Linked DNA regions of Anolis sagrei. The protein of the gene in region 1 interacts with the protein of each later gene in a pairwise test. Links are inferred from orthologs where the notes say so. Each region holds a gene or a part of one and is shown on either strand. Other genes may lie near its edges.

The links. The genes of interacting proteins can lie anywhere in the genome.
Region 2: the proteins of NDEL1 (region 1) and MLLT10 interact in a two-hybrid assay, tested with the Homo sapiens proteins (2 studies listed by BioGRID and IntAct). The link is inferred for Anolis sagrei from reciprocal best matches to the Homo sapiens genes NDEL1 and MLLT10.

The regions. Positions count from the first base shown.
Region 1 is NC_090022.1:125,981,815-125,989,254, forward strand, and holds the start of NDEL1 (nuclear distribution protein nudE-like 1), read right to left. Parts: upstream 3,085-7,440; 5' UTR 2,896-3,084; intron 1-2,895. UniProt on the Homo sapiens protein: Required for organization of the cellular microtubule array and microtubule anchoring at the centrosome. May regulate microtubule organization at least in part by targeting the microtubule severing protein KATNA1 to the centrosome.
Region 2 is NC_090026.1:107,722,899-107,730,570, reverse strand, and holds the start of MLLT10 (protein AF-10), read right to left. Parts: upstream 3,079-7,672; 5' UTR 2,508-3,078; coding exon 2,339-2,507; intron 1-2,338. UniProt on the Homo sapiens protein: Probably involved in transcriptional regulation. In vitro or as fusion protein with KMT2A/MLL1 has transactivation activity. Binds to cruciform DNA.

The DNA of each region.
Region 1 (7,440 bases):
CTTCCAATAAGTTGACATCTGTACTGCATAACATGTGGTATCTGTTTGCATAACTGCCACTTTCTTAATTCAGCAACAGGATAATATTTCCAGTGACTCATGGGAACTCAGTACTCCGACATCATCAGTATATTTGTATATCTTAGCAACTGTTTGACAGCTGAACACCTTGGCTTTTCCTTTACCCAAGTTTAACAGGATAGTAATTAAGGCCCCTTCTACACTGCCATATAATCCAGACTATCAAAGCAGATAATTTGGATTTTACACGGCAATGCAGAAGGGGCCTAAGAGGCTTTAATTTTACAGCAAAATATCAAAATTAGTAAATAAGCTATTCTTGTTATTGAGATAATAATGATCCAATGTATATGATGTTTTACAAACAAACAAGAGAGGTCCCTTTCCAAGGAGACTGGAATCTGAAATGTGACACAGCAGAATGCTACAAAGAAAGATGCAAGTAAGACTGACAAAGGAAGAATATGTACAGTTGCACGTGACAGAAGCAATCACATTTGTAACAGTTTGTGAAAGTGCATCAAGGTCTAAGAGCAAAGACTGGTTCAGGGGAGGAAAACTGAAACCCTCAACCTACCCATGCTCCCTTACTGTAGATTTCTCCCCTATGTCTCTTAGGCTTCAATAATAGCAGTCAGAATGGAATGCAAACAGTGGAGAGACCATTCAATTCACCTTCCCTACATTTCCTCATGATATAAAATTATGAAGACACAATTTATACATATCAAATATAAAAACAAATCATGCTAATTTTTATCTTTTTGACTCAAACCAAGAGTGAGGGCATGAAACAATATATTTAATAGTGCACTACAGCATAATTCACAAAAAGTAAATATTCATAAGCTCTTTACAGTTGTGGCCAGCACTTTAACCTGATTTATGAAAGTTTTATGTGTGTGGGAGAGAACGGCAAATTACAGGGTCCAATAAAAAGGAATTCAGACTTCCCAGGATTTTACACAGAAGATGTGGGAAGAAGATCCTTATTCACACAACACATATTTAAACTCTAGAATTCACTAACAAAACCACCAATACTTATTAGTCATGATATTATATATTTCCAGTATTAGAAGTTGTATATTTTGTATGCCAATCATAGATAAGCACAAGTGTGAAGGGAGAGATATGACATGTTTTAGAATTTTTAATTTTAAAAAATTTATTGATTGATATTGTCCGTTGTTTATATTCAGTCAAAGTGTGCCTTGTTTTGATGATATATAATTCTATTTTATGTGTGGCACTTTAGTGCTTTGTTAGATATGCCGAGTCCCTTCAGGGAGATGGTGGCGGGGTACAAATAAATAATAATAATAATAATAATAATTGCTGATGCACTCATGTTCTGCTTGTGGGTTTTCAATTAGCATTTGTTTGGTCAACATGGGAACAGAAAGGAGATCTGATAGGCCTTTGGTCTATGTATAACCCTCAAAAGATTTGATACTGGCCTGAACTGACAAATAAGTTTTGTTTTAGGGAGTTGGGAAAGTTCAGCTACTGACCAGGGCACCCAGAACTTTATCATGATTTTACAATGAGGGAGGATGTTGCTCAACTACAAACGAGTTATCTCCAAAAAAATACACTTCTTACAGAATGGGAATCTGTCAGCTGTGACTTATTTGCTATTACTTCAGCCCCATTTAATGCAGTTTCAAACCAGAATTAAAGTATGCTGGTTTAGCTGTGCAGACGATTAAACAGGAAATTCTGGAACCAGTTTGCGGCCAGGATGGTGATGACAAACCACAGAGCATTGGTACATATGAAGGGGTTTTCTTTCATCCACTTCTGTGTCTGGCTGCCAGTCTGATGGTCAATGTAGATGGGGCCTTAGTTCTAGTAAATGACTCCCCAGCTCCTGCCTCCCAGGTGTTTCAGATTTCAGTTCCCAGAATGTCTGATTACTGGCCAAAGTATTTCACGCTTTTGGGAATTGGAATACAAATCACCTGGAGGCCTAGAGAGATGATTTCATCACACTAGAGAATGAATCCACTTTAAATCCGGTTTCTGCCTGCCACAGAATTCTGGGGTTTGTAGTTTAGTGAGGCTGTTAAAGGCTCCTCCCTAAACTACAGACCCCAGAATTCTGCAGAAGAAGAAACCGTATTTAATGTAGATTCATTCTCTAGTGTTATGAAGTACTTAGAGAATGGGTGTTCAGGTGGAAACCCCAGAACTTTAACGTGAGTCAAGCATGACCAAATAGAAAGACGTGGGGGAGGGAGATGTTGCCAGAGGCTCCCTCGACCCGGATGCTCTTCAGATGCTCCTAGTAGGCCCGGTCCTTCGAGAAAAGGCCAAGCGACTGGCCCCGGGGCGGGCGTTGAGCTGCGAAGAGCGGAAGGTGAAAGAGGGGAAGGAGTCGAGGCAGGCGGGTGCCCCTTTCGGCATAAAAGAGGGCCCAGGCCGGCGGGAGCTGGAAGAGGCAGGCGCCAGAATCGCGCGAGGCGGGTCCGAAGAGTCACGAGGCCACGCGGGCCTTGAAGGAGACGCCACGCGCGCGGCCCCCGCCTCCCAATTCGCCCCCCCCCCCACTCAGGGTGCGAGCGACACGCCAACGGTCACCTCGTGAACCCCCTCCCGGCTCCCTCAGGGGACACTCGCCACCGCCCTACTCCGTGAGTGACAGCGCTTCGAGCCAATCGCGGCGAGCCGTGCCGCTGGTTTCAACTAATAAGCGCCCGCTAAGGGGCGGAATCTGCCCCGTTGTCAATTAGCGGCCAATCGGGGAAGGAGGGAAACGGGAGCTTTTTCGGGAAGGGAGGGGGGCCCAGCCGGATTCGACAACACCGTGCCCTAGTACCCGGACATCCTCCCTGCCTCCCTCCCTGCCAGGCCCCGCCTGGTGCGCCTTACCAGCTGTCTCTCTCGCGGAACCTGCTGCTGCTGCTCCTCCTGCTACTACTGCCGCCTCCGCCGCATCCCCACACAGTCGCTGACACACTCCGAACCCAGCCTCATCCGGGGCAGCAGGCGTCAGTGATACGTCACAGAGGGAGGCGAGGCCCGGCACGAGAAAAGCTCAACGCCCTGGAGGGGCGGGGCCAAGAGAAAGGGGCGGGATCATGCAGATGAGGCGCCGCTGGCGGGAACCCGCGTCAGTTCTCGGTAGGCGGGGCCACAATGCTGCCTCGGCATTGTGAAATACGGAATGCAGGACCTGAACAGGCTTAATGCTATACCACCATGGGATTTGTAGTTATACAGGGCCTCTGTTGTTCTCTGCCAATGAGTGCTGGTCCCTTAAAAGGTAAAGGTTTTCCCTGACACTGTCCGATGGTGCTCATCTCCATTTCTAAGCCGAAAAGCTGGCGTTGTCCGTAGACGCCTCCAAGGTCATGTGGATGGAGCGCCGTTATCTTCCCGCAGAAACGGTCCCTCTTGATCTACTCACACTCGCATGCTTTCAAACTGCAAAGTTGGTAGAAGCTGGCGCTAACAGCGGGAACTCACCCCGCTCCCCGGATTCGAACCTGGTGCCTTACAAAACTACAAACCCCATTAACAAAGTCCTATTGATAATACTGGAGAACTTGTGTGTGTTTTATACATGCCACCATCGTTATGAAGGTATACACGGGATTATGCTTTAAACGGAGAGAAAAGATGTTTGACAGCTGTCAAAATTTTCACACGGCCCCCTCCCACATAGCTGAATAAAATCCCACATGATCTGCTTTGAACTGGAATTAATAGTGTGGACTCAGAAAACCCAGTTTAAAGCAGATACTGTGGGATTTTCTGCCTTGATCTTCTGGGTAATCTGGCTGTCTGGAAGGGCCCTTAGATCGTAGTGTTAGGACATGCCAAAAACTGTTTAATGTGGTGACATAAAGTGTTGATTTCTTCAAGTTTGTCATGTGATGAATGTTCTAGGAAAACAGGGTCAGGGTAGGATTTGATACCAGCTGAAAACATAAATTATCCTGTTTCTACCACAGGAGAAATAAACAAGGGCCTTCCACACAGCCCTATATCCCAGAATATCAAGGCAGAAAATCCCACATTATCTGAGTGTGGACTCAGGTAACCCAGATCAAAGAAGATATTGTGGGATTTTCTGCCTTGTTATTCTGGGATATAGGGCTATGTAGAAGGGCCCTTGGTTTCATACTGGTTCCCCCCTCCAGCCCAAAGCTACATAAAATGGCATGCAAGTCTGAGTATTCTCTCCACAGACAGGCTTTCTGGGGAAGAGACTGTATCAGAGTAGATCAGTAACCTTGGCAGGATGTGGTATGGTTTAGGCTAAGATGTTTACAACTGTACGTCATCTTCACAGGAAGTGAGCAGGAAGTTAAAACAGGAAGGAAGAGACGAAACAGACAGAATTGTTTCATAAGTATGCCAGTCTGACTGTCTCCAAAAATTACTCATGATAAAAATTCTTCTAAATCTTTTAAACAATAGTATGTTTATCACAAATATTGTTCCAAGCAAGATAGGTTTTTCTGTGTTAGTTTCAGCACATACTTTCTTATGTAGTTCTTTTTTTGCAATTTCCTTTTGGCTTCATTTCTGTACTTCCTGTTGCATTGTTTATTTGTCCAGTGACCTCTAATCTATCTTCTACCTCAGGACCTGTAACTCTTTCCTGAATTATCTGAACTTCACCTTGTCTGCTCTCATACATTACCTTTTGTCTCTTTGTTACTCACCTCAATCCCATTTCCTTTCTTATCTTATGTAAATTTCGCTAGCAACATTCTGTGGTTTGGCTTTAGTCACATGCTTTCTTAACATTTTACATCTTTAGCTCTTTTAATATGGTCTTATATGTACATAAGAGTTTAGGTTGAGACTAATATAGTTGCACTTGAGTCTCATTATATACAGTGTGAAAAGGCAGGTGTGACTTTAGACTACTGAGATATAGTTGCACTTAATGAATCTGAAACCCACCCAATATGCCAATTAGGCAAACTTCATTTTTCATTTGATTCATATGCAAAATGTAATCTAATCAGTGCTAGTTAATTCAGATTCCCCAGTTTTGTTTGATTTCAAGCTGGTACACTGCTAATCCCGATTAACATCATTTTACAAAATTCCTTCTAATGCTCTTGGGACATTTTTGGGGTGTTACTCTTTTTTCTCTACAGTATCAACAAAGATTTCTAATTATTGTCAGAGTTCATGTGTGTATTCAGTTCAATCAGAATAATTAGTGGAAGCTGGAATGATCCAGACAAAACTAAACATAGTGGACTAAATCTAATTGCTAGCCCCAACTAGGGTATCCCTATAGAATCAATGAAACTGACCTATGCATATGTGCTATTACATCACCTCTCAACTTGTGACCCCATTAATTTTATATGGTTTTCTTAGACAAGGAATACGTAGAGGTGACTTTGCCAGTTCCATCCTCTGAAATATAAACTACAGGACCTCATATTCTTTGGTGGTCACCCATTCAATTACTAACTGGGACTGATCCTTCTTAGCTTCCAAGATCAGATAGGCTTTGGTGCCTTTAGGATATTTAGGCCATGGGTTGACATACTATTCAGCAATTGGTTTTGTGAATCTGCTCTATCTGGATTTAGGCTTTTTATTCCCACTGGTTTGAACATGAGTGTTAAGTACACGGAAATCTACAGAGAAATGTTTTTAAGAAACACCTTATATTGTTGCACAATCTATTAATTCATAAAGGTTCAGCTGTAATTAATTAAGTTTTGACCAGAGGACAGTGTCCCATTCAAAGTCAACAGGTGGCATTTTAACCATTTAGATAGCAATGGCCCAAAGGATGAACAACAACTTTCTTGACAGTACCTACTTATAGTTAGAGCTACAGTTATCTTGTTTTCAAGCAGTCTCTGTACTAAATACTACCCAATCGCTGATCTGTGTGACTGGTAATTTCCTTAGGATTCACATAGGGAAATTGACTCTTCAGACATTTCAGACTAATGTATTCCTCATTATCCCTGAACATTTTTCATGCTGTCTGAGGCTAATGGGAGTTAGAGTTCAATAGCAACTGGGAGGGATAGGTTTCCCACCCCTGCCTGTACCAAAGAACTATGAATATCTGAAATGAGTGTTGCCAAAGGGACAGAGGTAGATTGCTCATCGTGTGGTAATGATCACAGCAGCATTCTTGGATGCTTCTCCGCACATTGCTGCACTTAAATTCCTATACTTAACTGTTCAGCCTGCCAGAATGCTGCTTGAGACTGTGACCCTGTAACCTTCTCTTCCCTGAGTGCAATTGTAGCTCAGCTGTATCTGAGGGAGCAGTGGACCAATGGCATGTGTCTATTCCCTTCACTTCCCCTGCATTCGCTGCTGCACCTGACACATGGCAACATCCCCTCCAAATTTGTCTTTGTCCATTGCTGACGGGGCTTTCATGGAATTAACAAAGAGACAGTGTTGGGGCCCCTGTTTCCAAACTTGCATTATAGGGGTTGCCTGTCTGGTTAACACTGATTTAAAGTTGATGTTTGTTTTCAATGGACTTTTTAAAAAAAAATCTTTTGCTTGCACCCTGTTGTAATCTGCACATGTTCCCAGGCATTCTTGATGGGCCTGGAGTCCTTAGACTCACAAAGGCACAGTCGCTTAGCATTAATTCTTCCCTGTGCTTAGCAGCCATTGGTCTCCTTTAGCTGCGGTGGGGCTGGGCTTCCCAGGCAAAACCAAGTCATCCATTGAAAAGCAAAGGGATAAAAGAGACATAATAGATTCTATTGAAGTGAGATTTGTCTCATGGGGTTGGAGGTGGGGTGATGGGGGTGTGGAGGAGCCTGAGAGCAGAGACTAAGGAGTGTCTCATGAAATTCGGGGTCAGGAAGTCTCCCAAGGCTTTTGCTCTCTCTGTTTTGATCACATGAGAATGCACATGGGGTGGGCATTTTATCTGAAGGAGCAAGTCTGGGAAGATAAACAACCTTTCACAACCTGCTAGCACTGTTGTGAATGCAATCTATTCAACAGTATATACACTGGCTCTGTGCAACACCTGTTTTTCTTTTGGTGTGCCCACTACCTCAATCTGAATTTGTAATCTTTGCTGTTGGAATGTTAAAATCCCAGTGTTGAGGCATTTTGATTCAGGTGTGTTGCCTGAATGAAATCACATGGCTATGTATGATGACAAAAAATAATGTCTAGGTTGTAAACAGTTACCTGTTTTGATGAGCTTAGAAAGTTACTTTCTTTGGACTACAGTGGTCACACTGACTGAGAGTTCCTGGAGGTTATAGTCCCAAATAACCTTTCTAAGTCAAAAGGTATGACAGCAATTCTGATGGGAATGCTTGAACAAATAAATCACCTCTGGCAATAATTAATAAAGGTGGAATCTAGAACTATGTCTGTCCAGTCTTCCATGCCCCTTTTTCAAATAGACTGTGCTAAAGTTCCAAACAAGCAATGGAGATCATAGAC
Region 2 (7,672 bases), on another chromosome or scaffold:
GTAGAATTGCACATCTAAAAGTCACTGGATTCAAACTGCAGAAAGCTAAAACTCCATTTTAATATTAGTAAGAACCTCCTGGTGGTAAGAGCTGCTCAGTAGTGGAATATGCTGCATTAGGAGTGTGGTGGAGTCTCCTTCTCTGAATTTTAAAGCAGAGTCTGGATGGCCATCTGTCAGGAGTGCTTTGATTTGAGGCACATTTGCACTGACCGCTTACGTCAAATAAGGAGGCAGTTTCAGGATGCAGATTATTCGATAGGAAATCCTAGAACTGGCTCAAGGCCTGGATGGCACTTGTATGCAGATCACTGGCACATATGTGGATCCCTTCATCACTTTCGCTACGACATGGTTTACAGTAAAGCCCCTGATGCACATTAAGGTCTCTGTTTCAGAGTATTACTTGACTTTGGTTTCCTCAGATTAAGGCCCTTATAGTAAGCTGCAGTGCATGTGCATGGCATGCATGATGTAAACACAATGCTGTCAGGCTGTCTTTAAACTGCATTAAATGATCAGTGTAGATGTGCCCTGTGTGTTCCTGCATGACAGGGAGTTGGACCTTGTGGTCTTTTAGCACTCTATGACACTAACACTAACAAATGATACAGTGTTCATTATGGCAAGCCACACAGTAACTCAGCTGGACCCTGGTCAACTGCTCCCCTTCCATTAATCCAAACAAATCTACCATCAGAAACTAAGTAAATTCTTCAGTGGCCCTTTCCTTCCCTCCCCCAGCACCATCCTGCTGCAAACAGGAAGTCTCCTGATCCAGCCGACCTGTCCAGGCAAAGCAGCCATCGGCTGGGAAGCCAAGCGCCAGTCACATGAGAGCTAACTCTGCCTCTCAGGCACACATGTTGCCAGACTACTCCTCAAAGGTCCAAGGAAGTGAGATCCACATGGGAGGAGGGCCTAGCTTGATGTTCCCAGACTCAATATTTTCCAAAACTCTCTGAACTTGGCCTTCCTGATAACTTTTACTACCAATGGCAAACAGGAGGGGAAAGAGCAGGCAAGCAAGTCATTAGGTACACACAGAAACAAAAATAGAGGCTGCATTTTCACTGCCAAATGAATGTGCCATGGCTCAAGGCTATGGATTCCTGGGAGTTGTAGTTTGGTGAATCATTGGCCCTCTTTGGCGGGAAAGGCAGTCAAGCTACCAACTCCCATGATTCTATCACATTGAATATGATCCCTCAGAGGATCGGGGAATTTCCCACTCTGGAGGATTTTAAACAGAGCCTGGATGGCCCTCTGTCAAGAGTGCTTTGATTGTGCATTCCTGCATGGCAGAATGGAGTTGAACTGGATAGCCCTTGAGGCCTCTTCCAACTCTGATTCTATATATAAGGTCTCCCTTTTCTGAAACTGGCAGCTCCCTCTCCCTCCCCCACCCCCAGGTATAATAGAAGGGAAGGAGAGGAAAAACCATTTTGTTTCTTGGGGAGGAAAGGAGAGAGACTAAACCAGAGTTTTCCAGGCTGTGTCTCGAGTTCGTGTGTCAGCTGCAGCGTGTAGGTAAGTTGCAGAACTGTGATGAGAAACTGGAGTCTATGTGAAACAAGCAATAAATCATATACAGGCCGTCCCCAAGTTACGTACAAAATAAGTTCTGTAGGTTTGTTCTCAAGGGTAACTACAGCTAAAATTATATTCTGTTTTAGCTTTCAAGTGTAACTCTATCCAAAAATAGATTCCATTTTAGCTTTTGATAGCATAGGGAAGGGTTAACAACCCTGAGGATTTGTTTTGCTATCTGCGCCTCCTTTCAGAAGATGTCACCTCACTTTCTGTCCATGTGATCATTATTTTTTTTTAAATGGCTTGTTATGGAAACAAGGATTGGTGAGAAGCTTCAGTGAAGACACATTTTCCTGTGACAACTCTTTCAGAAGTGAATTTCCCTTCCTATATGCAGATTTCTCTCACCCCCATCCCCCTCCCCGCCTGATTTTTTATACTGTGTCCCTGTTGTAAGCTCAAGTCCCCTGGGGAGAGGGCAGGATATAAATAAAGCGTTAGTATTATTATTATTATCATTAACTAGGAGTCGTTTCTAAGTCGGATGTTCGTAACTTAGGGGCTGCCTGTATTTTAAAAATATATAAATGAACTATTTTCAGCCAGGCATGGCCAACTTGGGCCCTCCAGGTGTTTTGGACTTCAATTCCCACCATTCCTGACAGCTTTGGTGGCTCTGAAGGGGAAGAAAGATTAGAATGGGATCAAAAGAAGGGCCCGAGCGAAGTGTCCCAGTAGGAGGGAGAGTTGTTGTTGTTGTTGTTGTGGCATCCTCCCTCTGCCCCCCTCCCCCTCCCCCACTCACCTTGATGCACTGCGACATTGCAGCCGTGTCCGTCGCAGTAAACCAGCGGGTTCTCGGCCCAGCCCCTCTCGTCGGAGCACACGCAGCAGCCGCCGATCATCTCCTTCATGCTATTGGAGAACTCGTCCTCCAGTGACACAGGCAGTAGCAACGGCTCGCTAGAGACCATCTAAGGGTTAAAAAGCACCGTCAGAGCCGCCGCCGCCGCAGCCCGAGAAGCCCCTGCTCGGCACAGAAACGCCGCCGCCTTCAGTCGCTGAGCCACCGACGCCGCCAATACCGCCTCCATAGCAGGGACGTGGGACTCATGGCCGCCTGTGGGGAGGGAGGGAGGGAGGGAGGCCACAGACAGAGCCGTTGGGAAAGGGCAAGGGGGGGAAAGAAGGCCTCCCCTCAAGTGCCTCAGGAGGCGACGGTGAGGAACCCGTCAGAGCAGGAAAAAAAGGAGGGCTGCGAGATCCCCGCTGCTTCGGCCACGCAGAGAAAGTAAAACATAAAAAAAATAATAATAATAATAAGCAGGCAGCGACAGAACAGGGCCTGCTACGCGCAGGCGCAGTGCGGCCCTTCCTCACAGGAAGAGGCTCAAGAAGACGGCGGCCTGGTCGTCTTGTGTCCTCCTCATCCTCCTCCTCATCCTCCCCTCCCTTCTACATTCCACGCGGGGGCTCATGGGCCGGGAAGGCAGCGCGAGCCTCGGCGCGTTTGTGCGTCGCGCGCTCCCTCCTCTCTCTCTCTCTCTCTCTAGCGCGCGCTTCCCCTTCTCTCTGACGTTTCCAACGGCTCCCCCCCTCTTCTCAGAGCGTGAGCGCGCGCGCAGGCAGGGGGAGGGGAGAAGGAGAGAGAGTGTGTATATATTATAAGCTCGCTGAGGCGTTCCTCTCGCAACCAGGCCCCTGACAAACCCGAGTTCCTTTTTTTTGTGCTTCAAAAAGGTCTCTCCACACAACCATATAACTAGAGTAATCCACAATACCTGCTTTGAACTGAGGGCCTTTCCAGACAGTCATATAAATCAAAATATCAAGGCAAAAAATATCCCACAATATCTGCTTTGAACTGGGTTAGCTGAGTCCACACTGCCATATAGTTCAAAGCAGATAATGTGGGATTTTAGTGAGCTGTGTGGAAGGGGCCTGGGTTATCTGAGGACCTTTCTACACAGTCATATAACTATCAAGGCAGAAAATCCCAGAATATCTGCTTTGAACTGGGTTATCTGAGGCCACACTGCCATATATTCCTGGATTATCTGAGGGCCCTTCCACATAGTCATAAAACCCAGAATACCAAGGCAGAAAATCCCAGAATATCTGCTTTGAACTGGGTTATCTGAGGCCACACTGCCATATATTCCTGGATTATCTGAGGGCCCTTCCACACAATCGTATAACCCAGAATATCAAGACAGAAAATCCCACAATGTCTGCTTTGAACTGGGTTATCTGAGTCCACACTGCCATATATCTCAGTTCAGAGCAGATAATGTAGGATTTGAGTGAGCTGTGTGGAAGGGGCCTGGGTTATCTGAGGGCCCTCCCACACAATCATATAACCCAGAATATCAAGGCAAAAAATCCCACAATATCTGCTTTGAACTGGGTTATCTGAGTTCACACTGCCATATAATCCTGGATTATCTGAGGGCCCTTCCACACAATCATATAACTCAGAATATCAAGGCAAAAATCCCATAATATCTGCTTTGAACTGGATAATCCGAGTTCTCACTGCCATATAATCCTGGATTATCTGAGGGCCCTTCCACACAATCATATAACTCAGAATATCAAGGCAAAAATCCCATAATATCTGCTTTGAATTGGGTTATCTGAGTCCACACTGCCATATATCTCAGTTCAAAGCAGATAATGTAGGATTTTAGTGAGATGTGTGGAAGGGGCCTGAGTTATCTGAGGGCCCTCCCACACAATCATATAACCCAGAATATCAAGGCAAAAAATCCCACAATATCTGCTTTGAACTGGGTTATCTGAGTTCACACTGCCATATAATCCTGGATTATCTGAGGGCCCTTCCACACAATCATATAACGCAGAATATCAAGGCAAAAAATCCCACAATATCTGCTTTGAATTGGGTTATCTGAGTCCACACTGCCATATAGTTCAAAGCAGATAATGTGGGATTTTAGTGAGCTGTGTGGAAGGGGTCTGGGTTATCTGAGGGCCCTTCCACACAGTCATATAACCCTGAATATCAAGGCAGAAAATTCACAATATCTGCTTTGAACTGGGCTATCTGAGTCCACACTGCCATATATTCCTGGATTATCTGAGAGCCCTTCCACACAGTCATATAACCCAGAATACCAAGGCAGAAAATCCCACAATGTCTGCTTTGAACTGGGTTATGTGAGTCCACACTGCCATATTGTTCAAAGCAGATAATGTGGGATTTTAGTGAGCTGTGTGGAAGGGGGCTGGGTTATCTGAGGGCCCTTCCACACAATCATATAACTCAGAATATCAAGGCAGAAAATTCACAATATCTGCTTTGAACTGTGTTATCTGAGTCCACACCGCCATATATTTCAGTTCAAATCAGATAATGTAGGATTTTAGTGAGCTGTGTGGAAGGGGTTATCTGAGGGCCCTTCCACAAGGTCATATAACCCAAAATATCAAGGCAAAAAATCCCACAATGTCTGCTTTGAACTGGGTTATCTGAGTTCACACTGCCATATATTCCAGTTCAAAGCAGATAATGTGGGATTTTATTCAGCTGTGTGGAAGGGGCCTAACCTGGCTTTACAAAGATGACGAGAGGGTGTGTCTTCACTGCCCTTACTTGTCCGACCACCTCTCCCACTACATCCTGCCTTGCAGTTTAAGATCATTCGGGGAGACCCTGCTCTCGCTCCTGCCAGTGACGCAAATACATCTGGCGGGAACGAGAGACAGGGCCTTCTCGGCTGTAGCCCCCCTGCCTGTGGAACTCGCTTCCCAACGAGGTAAGATCGATTTCATCCCTCCTGTCTTTTAGGAAGAAACAGAAGTCGTGGTTCTGGGACCAGGCTTTTGGACAGCTGGCATAAATAACGCTTTGGATATGGAATTTGACTGGAATGGTGATACAGCAGTTAATACTGTTTTATTGTTTTAATTAATGTTCTATTTATTGTTTAATTGTTGTTATATTGCTTTGTTATGGCATCAAATTGTGCCAAATGTAAGCTGTCCTGAGTCCCTCTTCGGGGGTTGAGAAGGACAGGGTAGAAATGCTGGAAATAAAAATAAATTTCCTTTAAAGTTTTAAGATGTCACAGTGGCACAGCAGGCCAAACCACTAAGCTGCAGAACTTGCTGACTGGAAGGTTGACAGTTTGAATCCATGGAACAGGGTGAGCTCCCATTGTTCTGCCAACCTAACAATTCAAAAGCATACAGTTGTGAGATCAATAGGTACTTCCCACCAGAAGTGACTTGCAGTTTCTCAAGTCACTTCTGACAGAGAAAAAAAAATGGTACTGCTTCGGCAGGAAGGTAACGGCATTCCATGCAGTCATTCCAGCCACATGACTTAGGAGACATCTACAATACTTGCTAACCAGAAGGTCAGCAGTTCAAATCCACGGGATGGGGTAAACTCCCGCTTTTAGCCCCAGCTTCTGCCAACCTAGCAGTTTGAAAACATGCAAATGTGAGTAGATAAACAGGTGGCTCAGTCACAGGACATTAAATTTTTCTTCATGTTTATTACAAATCCCCTCAAAACAGAAGGTTAGGTGCAAAACCTGAGGGGGCAGGCCTATGAGCCGTTTATGGTGACACATTTCCTATTCTGAAACAGGCACACAAATATAAGCAAAAAAAAAACAACCCAGTTCGTCTCCATTTGACAGCATTTTTCATACAATAAGGGCTCTTCCACACAGGCCCATATCCCAGAATATCAAGGCAGGAAATCCCACATTATCTGAGGATGGACCCAGATAACCCAGTTCAAAGCAGATATTGTGGAAGGGCTATAAGATTCTGAATATCTTTTAACATTGATGGTTTTGGGTAGCACTTTCCGCCAAAGGGCATAATTTAATAGACATCTCACTTTCCATTTAGAACTCCAAAAGACCTTTTATTCCCATATAGTCTCAATCAATTTTAAAAAAAATCTAAGATCCCAAACATCTTTTCACAGAAATCCATACAACTATGTAACCCAGAATATCAAGGCAGAAAATCCCACAATATCTGCTTTGAACTGGGGTATCTAAGCCCACAGTGCCATGTATAAATGTGCAATATGTGGAGTGGTACAATAATAACTGGAACAGCCTGGACTACAATATTGGATTATGTGATTTTAATTATTTTAATTGTTGAAATGTTTTTAGCGGTTGTTTTAATGTGTATGTTTTATTTGCTGGATATGTTCTGTATGACATCAAATTGTGCCATTATGTGTGCTGCTCTGAGTCCCCTTTGGGGTAAGAAGGGCGGGATATAAATATGGCAAATAATATTATTATTAATAATAATAATCCAGTTCAGAGCAGATAATGTGGGATTTTGCTCAGCTGTGTGGAAGGGGCCTAAGGCTTCCTAAATGGTGAACAACTGTTCTCTACCAACTGAAATATGGAAAGGAGATAGTACTATTGAGACATTCCCACCTTTTTTTCTCCTTTGGGGTTTTTTGCGAACACAAGGTTAGATGCAAAACCTGAGAGGACAGCCCTATGAACTGTTTTCTGGGGTTTACACTAGACCGGAGTTTCCTATTTTAAAACAACATAGAAATATAACCAAAGACATTAACTCTTGTTTGGCTCATACAAGACCTCAAATATATTTTAACAAAAATAGGTGGTATTGTTGGTAGTACTTTGTGCCAAAGAACCTTTTAATAGAAATCTCACTTCCCATTTAGGACTACAAGAGAACTCTTATTCCCATATAGTCAACCTTTTGGGTTTGTTTTATTTATTTATTTTTACATAAAGCAAACCATAACATTTCTAAAATTTCCTAAATTGTGAACAACTGCTCTCTGCCAACTGAAATATTATCTTATTGTGAGAAACTTTCCAAAGCACCTTCTGGAATTCCTTATTTTTATATAAATATTTCCTCAGTCTGAGCGAATCCTGAAGTTCAAGAAATCATAAAGATAAAATATTCCAGACGGAGTTTTAATTCTAATCTGCACCCATGGGAACAACCCTCTTCCCTCATTGGGTCTTAATTTGCCTAAATTATATTTCCAAGTTTACTGTCCGGTTTATTATTTTCAGATTGAGAAACGTATTCTGGTTGCTGTGGGCAAATCCAATTGAAATGCACATACTTTTGCTTAATACCTTATCCTTAT